Cricetulus griseus: one gene and its partners. The protein of the gene in region 1 purifies or fractionates together with the protein of each later gene. This does not show direct contact. Links are inferred from orthologs where the notes say so. Each region holds a gene or a part of one and is shown in the gene's direction. Other genes may lie near its edges.

What was found.
Region 2: the proteins of Cct3 (region 1) and Tle2 purify together in Homo sapiens (affinity purification with mass spectrometry; 3 studies listed by BioGRID and IntAct, with this or other methods). This does not show direct contact. The link is inferred for Cricetulus griseus from reciprocal best matches to the Homo sapiens genes CCT3 and TLE2.
Region 3: the proteins of Cct3 (region 1) and Dcaf7 purify together in Homo sapiens (affinity purification with mass spectrometry; 4 studies listed by BioGRID and IntAct, counting the BioPlex papers as one, with this or other methods). This does not show direct contact. The link is inferred for Cricetulus griseus from reciprocal best matches to the Homo sapiens genes CCT3 and DCAF7.

What each region holds. Positions count from the first base shown.
Region 1 is NW_023276806.1:66,186,921-66,190,569, reverse strand, and holds part of Cct3 (T-complex protein 1 subunit gamma), read left to right. Parts: intron 1-1,606; coding exon 1,607-1,724; intron 1,725-3,649. UniProt on the Homo sapiens protein: Component of the chaperonin-containing T-complex (TRiC), a molecular chaperone complex that assists the folding of actin, tubulin and other proteins upon ATP hydrolysis.
Region 2 is NC_048598.1:102,337,747-102,341,395, forward strand, and holds the end of Tle2 (transducin-like enhancer protein 2), read left to right. Parts: coding exon 1-17; intron 18-87; coding exon 88-235; intron 236-851; coding exon 852-1,002; intron 1,003-2,132; coding exon 2,133-2,209; intron 2,210-2,959; coding exon 2,960-3,067; 3' UTR 3,068-3,204; downstream 3,205-3,649. Other genes in the region: Tle6 (transducin-like enhancer protein 6), read right to left, coding at 3,598-3,649.
Region 3 is NC_048600.1:118,968,300-118,972,048, forward strand, and holds the start of Dcaf7 (DDB1- and CUL4-associated factor 7), read left to right. Parts: upstream 1-1,238; 5' UTR 1,239-1,461; coding exon 1,462-1,599; intron 1,600-3,749. UniProt on the Homo sapiens protein: Involved in craniofacial development. Acts upstream of the EDN1 pathway and is required for formation of the upper jaw equivalent, the palatoquadrate. The activity required for EDN1 pathway function differs between the first and second arches.

The sequences.
Region 1 (3,649 bases):
AGAATGTGGGGGGGTTGAAAAGGGAAATTAGAACTAAGGTAAGTTGTGGGTGGTGACTCAGCAGTTAAAAGCCCTGGCTGCTCTTGTAGAGGGCCAGGTTTTTATCCCAGCAGCATCTCAGAGCTGTCTAACTCCAGTGCCAGGGCATCTGATGCTCTGTTCTAGCGTCCTTGGGTACCAGGCACACATGTGGTGCCCATATATACCTTCAGACAAAATACCCATATACAAATACAAAAGAAATACAGTGTATTGTAGAGGTCCCTGGGATTTGGGCTGGTCTCAAACTCAGAGAGATCCGCCTGCCTCTGCCTCCCGAGTGCTGGAATCAAAGGTGTGCACCACCACTGCCCAGCTGGTAATTTTTTTATGTATTTTCTGCAATGGAGTGTAAAGCACCCTTGAGTAGGATGAGCTGTTTTATGTTTAGGGTGTGAGCTATGCAAATTTGTTAAATTCTGTGAAGTCACCACAAACAAATAGTGAATTCCAAACTATTAATTAGGCAATACAAGGTTAATAACTTTTTCTGACTACAGCATTTTCATCAACTAATGCATATTTTATTGCATGTGAATTGATTTGCTTAGAGTATTTTGTTTTTAAGCCAGGCTCTTGTTACATAGAACTCTTATGACAGATATGTTTACATGAGTTGTTTTATCTCTTTATATGCATGTGGGGGGTGGTTAGGTTTTATTTTAAACTATGTACATGAATATGTGTGTCTGTGTTAAGGATGTGTTCTCAGGAATACAGATGCCCACAGAAGTCAGAGGAAGGTTTTGGGTCTCCCAAAGCTGTAGTTACATGTTGCTTATAGCCACCTAACTTGGGTGATGGGAACTGAGTTAGGTGCTCTGTAAGAGCAGTTAAAAGCTCTTGACCTCGGAACCATTTCCAGCCTCACTTGCTCTTGCAGAAGACCTAGGTTTGGTTCCCAATACTCATGTTTGTTCACAACCATCCATAATTCTAGTTCCAGGGATCCCATGCCATCTTTTAAGCACCAAGCACCAAGCAGGACTTGGTACACATACATATATGTATACAAAGCACATGCATAAAATCTAAAAAATAAAATGCTAGTAGATACATGGGCAAGATAACTTGAAATAAGTTATGGTTTGTTAAGAATAGCCAGGAGGTATCTCAAGGTTGGCCTTGAGTTCCTGGTCCTCCTGCATCTGCCTCCTGGTGCTAGGGTTAGTGAGCCCAGCTTCTGTACTTTGTTTTTAGTGCCAGCAGTTTGGCTGTATCCTAAGGTATTGAGTTAGTAAATGCCCTGTGTATTTGTCTTTCTTGGGGAAAAAGTATTTTTATTTTTGTTAGAAAATTGTAGTATATATTTAATTAGAAAGATTTAAAAAAAAGAGAAGGGTAAGCCCTTAAGATCAATCTTTGATCATTTAAAATGTATCCAATAAATGTTTTTATGAATTGATGTCTATAAAATATAAATTCTGGAACAGTATTAACAGCCAAATGCATATTTGGTGAGAATCTGTTTTAGGGAAGTATCTTTTAGAAGCATAAGGAAATTAAGTTGTCTTCATCTCCTGCTACTTTCAAATGCATTGCCATGATGCCTGTGATCTTTTTGCAGCGGGAGAAATGCTGTCTGTGGCTGAGCACTTTCTAGAGCAGCAGATGCACCCAACAGTGGTGATTGGTGCTTACCGCATGGCACTGGATGATATGATCAGCACTCTGAAGAAAATCAGGTATGGAGGCAGAACTGGAAATGGAGAGTATGGGAGGCTCAGATTGACTGGAATATATAAATATTAAAAGGAATACGGATTACTCATGTTTCATTCATGTTTCATTTTTGGAACCTATATAAAGGAAGAGCTCCACAAAGTTGTCCTCTGACCTCAACACACATGCTCTATGCTTCTACATATCACACACACACAGCTTTAGGGAGGGAGGGAGGGAGGGGGGAGAGAGAGAGAGAGAGAGAGAGAGAGAGAGAGAGAGAGAGAGAGAGAGAGAGAGAGAGAGAGAGAGAACAGATAGTCACTTGTGTCTGTGACCCAGTGTTGGGAAGGTGGAGACAGGAGGATTCCTGGGGCTTAGTCTGTTGGGACTGGCAAACTCTAGGATGACACAAGATGTTGATCTCTGTTCTTTACACCACATGCGCATACCAAGAGAAAAATAAGTTTAGTACATGCCATGTTAGTAGCTGCCATGGAAAAATGTATCCTATGATAGACCTGTCTAGCTAGATATTCAAGTCTACTGAGGAGCATAAGGAGTGAGATATTTAGAGTTATTCGAGACTTACTGTTGTGTCCTGTCCTGTTGTGTATGAGTACTGCTAATTTGGTTGCACTGTGCTGTGAAGATAGCAGCTAGCAGTTTTCCATTAAGAGGAAGAGGACCACACCTGAAAATGCTGCTTGAATGTAGAGAACTACTAATTAGGCTATATTTGCTTGGTGCAAATAGTACAATGAAGAAATTATACAAATACATGCCTTTGCTGGGTGGTGGTGGTGGTGGTGGTGGTGTGCTACTTTAATCCCAGCACTTGGGAGGTAGAGAGGCCAGCCTAGTCTACAAAGTGCCAGGACTGTATGGAGAAACTTTGGGTGGGTGGGTGGGGGGAGTATATGCTTTAATACCAGCAACTTAAGATGCAAAGGGAGACGCTCAAAAAAACCAAAAGCAAAGCCAGGTGTGGTGTCACATGGAAAGCAGAGGAAGATGGAGCTCTTCGTTCTGCTTGGTTTACATAGTGAGTTCCAAAACAGCCAGAGCTACATAGTGAGACCCTGTCTCAAACAAACAAAAAAAAAAACCAGGTGGTTTGGTGGTGCAAACCAGGACTCAGGATGTAGAGTAAGGTGGATCTCCAAGTGTTCCAAGATAACTGGGGCTACACAGAGAAGCTCACCAATCTCACGCGCCCCCCCCCCAAAAAAAGAAAGAAAACCACAAAGCCAAAAACTTGTGAACAAAAGAAGTTTATAACTTCTAACTTTTACTTAATTTTGGAATTTTAGTTACAAAATGATAGGAGTCATAAAACGGTATTATAAAAGAAGTAATAAAAAAACAAAAAAGAAGTGATTATTTTGGTGGGCTTTAGCTAGCTTTATTTATTTATTTATTTATTTATTTATTTATTTATTTATTTGTTCATTTTGGTTTTAGTTTTTCCAGACAGGGTTTCTCTGTGGCTTTTGGAGGCTGTCCTAGAACTTTGTAGACCAGACTGGTCTCGAACTCACAGAGATCCTCCCGCCTCTGCCTCCCGAGTGCTGGGATTAAAGGTGTGCCCAGCCTTAGCTAGCTTCCTGAGTGCTGGGATTAAAGGCATGTGCTTACCACACTTGGCATAAATGAAATCTGTATTGTTGCTTAAAGTAAAACCAAGGAACTGGAGAAATTTGGTTCCCAGCATTCATTTCAGGAGGCTTACGACCATCTGTAACTCTAGGTCTTGCTACCTCAGGCACCTGTGCTCACTTGTGTGTGCGTGCGTGCGTGCGTGCATGCATGCACCTGTGTGTCTCAGACAAGGTCTCCTTTATAGCCTTGGCTGGCCTCACTGCTGCTCCCCTGCCCTCATGCTGGGATTAAAGTCACATGCCACAATGCCCAGTTTACTTATCCTTCTCCCTCTTCCCTAGAACTT
Region 2 (3,649 bases), on another chromosome or scaffold:
AACCAGGCCATGGTCAGGTGTGTAGGGCGGCCCGGGTTGGGGTGGGGGATGCACGGGTGGATGTGGACGCCTGCCCTCCACCCACAGGCAATTCCAGGGCCACACAGATGGGGCTAGCTGCATAGACATATCGGACTACGGGACCCGGCTGTGGACTGGGGGCTTGGACAACACTGTGCGCTGCTGGGACCTGCGTGAGGGCCGTCAACTTCAGCAGCATGACTTCAGTTCCCAGGTGCACCCGCAGTCCTGGCCTCCCCCTCAGGGTGCCTCTCCTTGGCCCGGGATAGGATAGGACCAGGGGCCTCCTGAGCCGGCTGGGTGGGTAAAGCGTTTGCCTAGCTAGCTTGAGGACTTGAGTTCAATTCCCCATAATCCCCATAAAAAACTGTCTTTAACCCCGCTTCCCCCATCCCCCCATCCCCCCCCCCCGCATGTGGAGACTTGGGAACCCCCGGGGCTGGCTGGAGGGCCATGTTAGCTGAATAGGTGAGCTCCAGGTTCAGTGAGAGATCCTGCCTCAAACACAAGGCCTGATGGCACAGGTCTTTAACCCCAGCACCGGGTGGTTCCAGGATGGCCAGAACTGCACAGTGTGACTGTCTCAGAAATCCAAAGTAATACCCGCAGCAAAGAGTGACTCACTCAATGCAGTCTCCCAATTACTCAGAAGCAGGACTTGGATCCCAGGCTGAGCCACCTGTGTAGCTTCCTCTGCCTAGAATTCTGCAGTTCCCTGTGTTTGTGCCTTAGATTTTAGACTTAGGGTGTGACACCTATTACCGGCCACCTTTTTGTCCCCATGGGAGACGTGGGGCACTCCTAGATCTCGGTGCTTTCTCTTGCCCTAGATTTTCTCGCTGGGTCACTGTCCCAACCAGGACTGGCTGGCCGTTGGGATGGAGAGCAGTCACGTGGAAGTCCTGCACGTTGGAAAGCCTGAGAAGTACCAGCTGCGTCTGCACGAGAGCTGTGTGCTATCGCTCAAATTCGCTTCCTGTGGTACAGGCCCGGGAGGCCCCAGGGACAGTAGAGGGAGGATGGGGCACCCCAAAATGGCTCCTTAGAATGATTTACCCAGGCCTGTCCACGCAGCTGCTTATTGAAATCAAGGCCAGTTTAGGTAAAAGTTCAGACACACAGGTCTCAAAAAAAAAAAAAAAAAAAGGATGGACCAGGTGAGGTAGCCACACCTTTGATCCTAGCACTTGGGAGGCAGGTGGATCTCTGAGTTCAAGGCCAGCCTGGTCTACAGAGTTCCAGTGCAGCTAGGTCTACACAGAGAAAACATGTCCTGGAAAACAAAAAAAGCTACTCAAGTCACTCCATGTTGACCCTCTTACCTCCACACACCAAAGATAATTTTTTTTTTGTTTTTTTTTTTGGTTTTTTGAGACAGGGTTTCTTCTGTGTAGCTTTGGAGCCCATCCTGGCACTCGCTCTGGAGACCAGGCTGGCCTCAAACTCAGAGATCTGCCTGCCTCTGCCTCCCGAGTGCTGGGTTTAAAGGCATGCACCACCAACGCCCGGCTGATAATTTTTTTCAAGACAGGGTTTCTCTGTAGCTTTGGAGTCTGTCCTGGAACTCACTCTGTAGACCAGGCTGGTCTTAAAATCACAGAGACCCGATTGCCTCTGCCTCCTGAGTACTGGAACTAAAGGCATGTGCCACCACTGCCTGGCTAAAACAAGTTTTCTGCCAGGTGGCGCATGCTTTTAATTCCAGCACTTGGGAGGCAGAGGCAGGTGGATCTCTGAGTTCGAGGCCAGCCTGGTCTACAAAGCTACACAGAGAAAACTGTCTCAACCAAATAAACCAAAAAACAAAAAACCCAAATTTTCCTCATGCTACCTGCCATATGAAAAGACTCAGCCATTGAGAGAGTATTCCCTGGAAGCCTGGGTTGCCTTCAAACTCACAGCAATCCTCCTGCCACAGACAACCCCCTTCCCCCCAAATCCATGACTTCTCTGACAAAGGAAGCCAGTGGTCTGGGGTTTGACTGACAGCTCTCAGCTTTTTGACATTGCAGACTAGCAGGCTGGGGGAGTGAGTTTCAGAGCATTCAGGCGCAGAGCCCCTGCCCTGGGAGGTCCTGGTCTCTGTCTCTAACTCTCTGTCCCCTCCCCAGGACGCTGGTTTGTGAGCACAGGCAAGGACAACTTGCTTAATGCCTGGAGGACACCCTACGGGGCCAGCATTTTTCAGGTACCCACCCTCCTCCCCAGCTGTTGGCTGCCTTTGCATTCCGGACTTTGAGACCCACACACTTTGGGTTGCATACTGAGCACGATGTCCAGGGGTCCATGCTGTGGCAAGTGTCAGAGCCATGCTCCAGCAGTTCATGGCTGAATATTCCTAGAAGTGAATCGACCAAGCTGGGTTTTCATTCCCTCCTTCAGAATGGATTATTGCCATCCCGTCATTTCATTAGATAGGAGGCTGAGGCGGGACTGAGGATGGGATGGGTGTGTGATGCTGCAGACAGAGCCAGGGCTTCATGTGTGCTGGGTGAGCTCTCTCCCTGGTCAGTCCTAGGCTCTGCTTCGATAGTGGCTTCCAAGTCTCTTGGACCTTTTTTTGGACATGACATAGCTGTCTTCCAAGTTTCCCATCTTCCCCACCAACCTCCAATCCTGAGTAGTGCTGTTACATCTGAGGTGGTGTGGAATGCCTTTAAATCAACCCTTCCCATGTCTGGGATACCATTGACCCCTTGGAACATGACGAAGATCTGGGACAGGAGCATGGTTAGTTTGAGGCTGGCCTGGTTTGTAGAATGAGACTTGAAGAGAGAAAGCAGAGTGGCTGTAAATGTGTGCTTCGGTGGCCTCAAGCCATCTGAAGTTGGGTACCATCTCTCTGAGTCACCTGTTATGCTTGCCCCCATCAGCCTTTACTGTCCCCCAAAGTACCCTGCTTCTGGCTTGAACATCACCTCTCCTTTCTCTGCCCTAGTCCAAAGAGTCTTCTTCAGTGTTGAGCTGCGACATCTCCAGGAATAATAGATACATCGTGACAGGCTCAGGGGACAAGAAGGCCACTGTGTATGAGGTGGTGTACTAAGGCCATCTGCCTGCATCTTCAGGTCACCTGCCTGAGGATGGTCACTTGGATGCCGTTCCCTCTGCTCACACCCCAGCTCCCTCATTCCTGGTTGGGTGGGGCTGGAGGCACTGGGGAAATATATAACTATTTATGGACTCGCTTTCCTTTTGTATGTGCGTCAAGGGTGCGGAGGCTGGGCCAGCTGGGTGTCAGCCCCTATTGGTCTTGACCTCATTGATAGGGCAGATAAGAGGATGGAGGGCCTTGATGAGGGTCTCCACACCTACACCCAGCTGGGGTCACAGGTGTACCCGAGTGCTGGGATTAAAGGTGATCAAGAAATTGGAAGGCTCAGAGCCAGAGTCCTTCCAGAACTTGGGTTAAAAAGGGCTGGAACAATATCCCTTCAGATGACAGAACAGACCGTCTCTGCCTTCTCAATTGCTTTATTACATATGAGGAAGGGTTGGTACACCCATGGGACTCTCACACCCACCCACATCCACCACTGTGCAGTTGGGGGGAGGAAAAGATGGGAATGGAAGCTGTCAGTACTTGATCTTGTACACCGAGGCACAGTCCCCTGATCCTGTGACAATC
Region 3 (3,749 bases), on another chromosome or scaffold:
GGAGGCAGGAGCAGGTGGATCTCTGAGTTTAAGACAAGCATGGTCCACAGAGCAAGTTCCAGGACAGCCGTACTACACAGTGAATCCCTGTCTCAAAAAACCAAGAATAAATAAAAATAGAAGCATGCACAGTAGACTTGTTCACACAGGTGAACATGACCAAAAGATAGTTGCTAAATGTATACCATTGACCCTCAAGGATTCCAGTGTCTGTGTTAACATCACTTTCGTTAAATACTGTACTTTATGGGCTGGAGAGATGGTACAACCCTGGAGAGCCCTGGCTGTTCTTGGAGAGACCCGGGTTGGATTCCAGGCTCTCACACGGTGTCTCACAACCATCTGTAACTCTGCCTCTTCTGACCTCTGTGGGCACCTGTACACATGTGGTACACTTACAAACACTCAGGCACACACAAATACACATATTTTTAAACTGTGTTTGATTATATTGCCTAACAATTCGATACAACCTCTTTCAATATCATTGAAAGCATTTAAATTTTTATAACGATGTATCTAGATCCAGGCTTTTGTACATTTCAAATTCATGGCACATAGACTTTTAAGGTTGGGTTAGCATTTGGCTTTTGAACACCCCCGGAGCGAGGAAGGAAATCAATCCTAGAATTCGGGAGTCTTTCTAGTGTCTATAGGACAGCGCAGGAAAGCCTCGATCAAGCTGACCTGGCCCTGAATGTCTCTCTCGGGCCTGTAAGAAAACTGTTTAAAGTGGCCTTGGGCCTGGAGAGGGTCCCAGTTTGGCACAGGCTGCAGGACCGCCGGATTTAGTGCCATGCAATAAACGCAGGAGTCTTCCATTAAGGTAATTTGACACGTTACTTGAAGCGGAGAGAGACATTCAGAACAGCAGCAACAGTGGAAAAGTGACAGGCTTCACTCTTAGGACCCTTGGCCTAGAACTTGAAGGCGCGCAGAAGGGTACACTTGCCCCCAGGCCACCCACGCCCCCATTCACCCGCACTGCGCCGTTATCCGTCTGACTGACATCTTGGCTAGCCAATGATCTTTGGGACTTTAAAAGAGCCCGCCTCTTGGAGTTGGGCGGGGCGAATCAGCAGAATGACAAACATTTCCGCCAATGGTGAGGAGGACGCGGGTTGCTAAGGCTGTATTGACCAATAAGAAGAAAGAACAGTTTGGAAAGGACATACCCGGCAGCCAACGCTCGTCGTCGCTACGGAATCGCGTGGCTTCCGTTCCGAGAGGGCGGGCCGGCATCGCAAACGGAAGGTGGTAGTCGCTGCCGGAGCTTGTTTGAAACTGGTGGTCGGGCCGGGCGGAGTGTGTGTGTAGCGGAGGACCCGCCGGAGGGCTAGGCCGTTCCTGAGCGCCCCGGTCCCGCCGCCTCTCGGACCCGCTGACCCCAGCCGGGCTCCCCGCCCGTCCCGTGCCCCAGCCCGCCGCCTCTCCGGCCGGCTCTGCGGCCCAGCCGCCACCATGTCCCTGCACGGCAAACGGAAGGAGATCTACAAATATGAAGCGCCCTGGACTGTCTACGCCATGAACTGGAGCGTGCGGCCCGACAAGCGCTTTCGCCTGGCGCTGGGCAGCTTCGTGGAGGAGTACAACAACAAGGTGCGTCGTGCAGAGGCTCGGCTTCTCCTGGCGGGGAGTGCTCGAGGTGGGCGGCAGCCCCAGATCCCGCAGCTGCCCCGCCAACTTGCCTTCATAGCAAGGGGGAGGTTCCTCCGTGTGGCCCTGCTGGTGAGGGTGTTAACTTTGACAGCCGGGGAAACTGAGGACAGTGTCGTGGCATGCCTGGGACGTAGTGTTTTGTTTTGGTTTTTTTGTTTTGTTTTGTTTTGTTTTGGTGGCAGTAGCGGGTTTCAAACCGGAGTTGAAGCCTCGTCCTGTGCCGCCTCTCCCATCTCCCCCACTTCTGCCGCAGTGCTTCTGTTGCTAGGCGGGGGGCGGGAGAGAGGCAGTGGAGGAAGATGCGGGCGCTTGGATTGGTGGTCGTGCATTCCTGGCCACGCGAGATTTCTGTTAGGGCTATTTATTGCAAGATCTTCCCCATCTCAGGTATTTCTCATGGATACAGAGCCCTAATGCTAGGTTGTCATTGGTCATTGGTTTTGCTTCCCGATGTCCACCCCCCACACACACACCCAGTCTATCCTTGGAAACCTTGGTCTGTAGCATTATCCCGCCATTATTTCTGAATAGAGGAAGATGACATCTGACCTTTTCTTTTCGTGGTTCCTTTCACGTTGATTTGCAGCATTGCTGGACATCCGTCACTCCATCAAAACGCTGGTACAGGAGAGAGCTCTTAAGCTAATACTTCGGGATATAGTTTTGAAAGTGTTGAGAAGAATCCCCCCCCATCTCTTGACTTAATTCTTTTGGTTTAATTAGAGTTTAAAAAGGAAAAAGAAAAAAAAAAAAGAATGACAAGAGATCAGAGCTACTGCAAGCTTTGACCAGTGGTGTTTAAAGCCAGTACTCTGCTTCCTCCTGGGATCATCAGACTGCAGACAAGTGACCAGATGTTAGGAGGAGTGAAGAAGTAGGTGGTCTAGGATTTCGCTAGACCACCTTGCATAGACCAATTTTATTATTTCTAGCCCACAGTGATACAGGAAAGGGATTCGGTTTTAAATGTGAAGATTCAGGTGAAAAGGTTTGAACATTTTATGTTTGTAGTATTTTAGGAGCGCATGTGTTTCTCTGGGTAAGGGTCCTCATTTCTTTCGTCCTCTTTGAGAAATGGGTGAAAGGGATTGTCTTTCATTGCCAATACTTCACACATACACAGTAGTTTACAGTCCCAGAGAGTATGCACTGATCACCCCGTTCCTAAACAAGAACCTATTTCTTTTCTCTGATGGCTCTTTCTCCCACAGTGGCAGGAAAACTGGGGCTGCCTTTCAGGGTCCAGGTGTGGGTAGTGTTAGTAAGTTTAAGACCACTAGAAAAAAGCTGTTGTTTAAGAATTTGTGTAAGAAATAAATGTAAAATGTGTCCATCAAAGGACCATAGTTGTTTTTTTTTTTTTCACACACACACAAATTAATTTTTTTTCCCTTTAAATTCTTCCAGAGTCTTTTATCTAAAAGAGGAGACATTGACTACCTGCAGAGGCCAGAAGAGGGTGTCACAGTCCCCCAGAGCTGGAGTTACAGGCTGTTGTAAGCCACCCAGTGTGAGTGCTGGGAACCGAACTAAGTCCTCTGCATGAGCAGTGAATGATCTTGTCTCCAGCACCTCGATTTAAAACTATGAACATGCCCAATGCCTTCTGAGGAGCAAATATGTAATATAAAGTAACCCTCAAGCTGGGCCTGGTGGCTTTTATTTGTAATTCCAGCACTTGAAAGGTTGAGGAAGGAGGATTTTTGTAATTTTGAGGTTAGTCTGGGCTACATAGTGAGCTCCCAACCAATCTGAGTTACAAAGTAAGACCTTATCTCAAACAAAAAAATAAAATCTGACTCAGAAACGTGCTCTTTACTTTCATCATTTCTGTGAATAATGCACATTATATGTTATTCATATCTTGTGGCATTATTGTTTTTGAGGCACAGTCTCATGTAATCCAAGCAGACTTTGAACTCCTTATCTACCTGCCTCCACCTCCCAAGTGCAGGAAATTATCTATAGATGTCACCATGTCCAGCTACCTTGTGAGTTTTGTTTTTCTAAAAGGAAAGTGCCATATCTCCTTCCTTGTTTGTTAACATAAGCTCCTTGAAAAAAAAATCTATTCCATTTCAGGGTACACA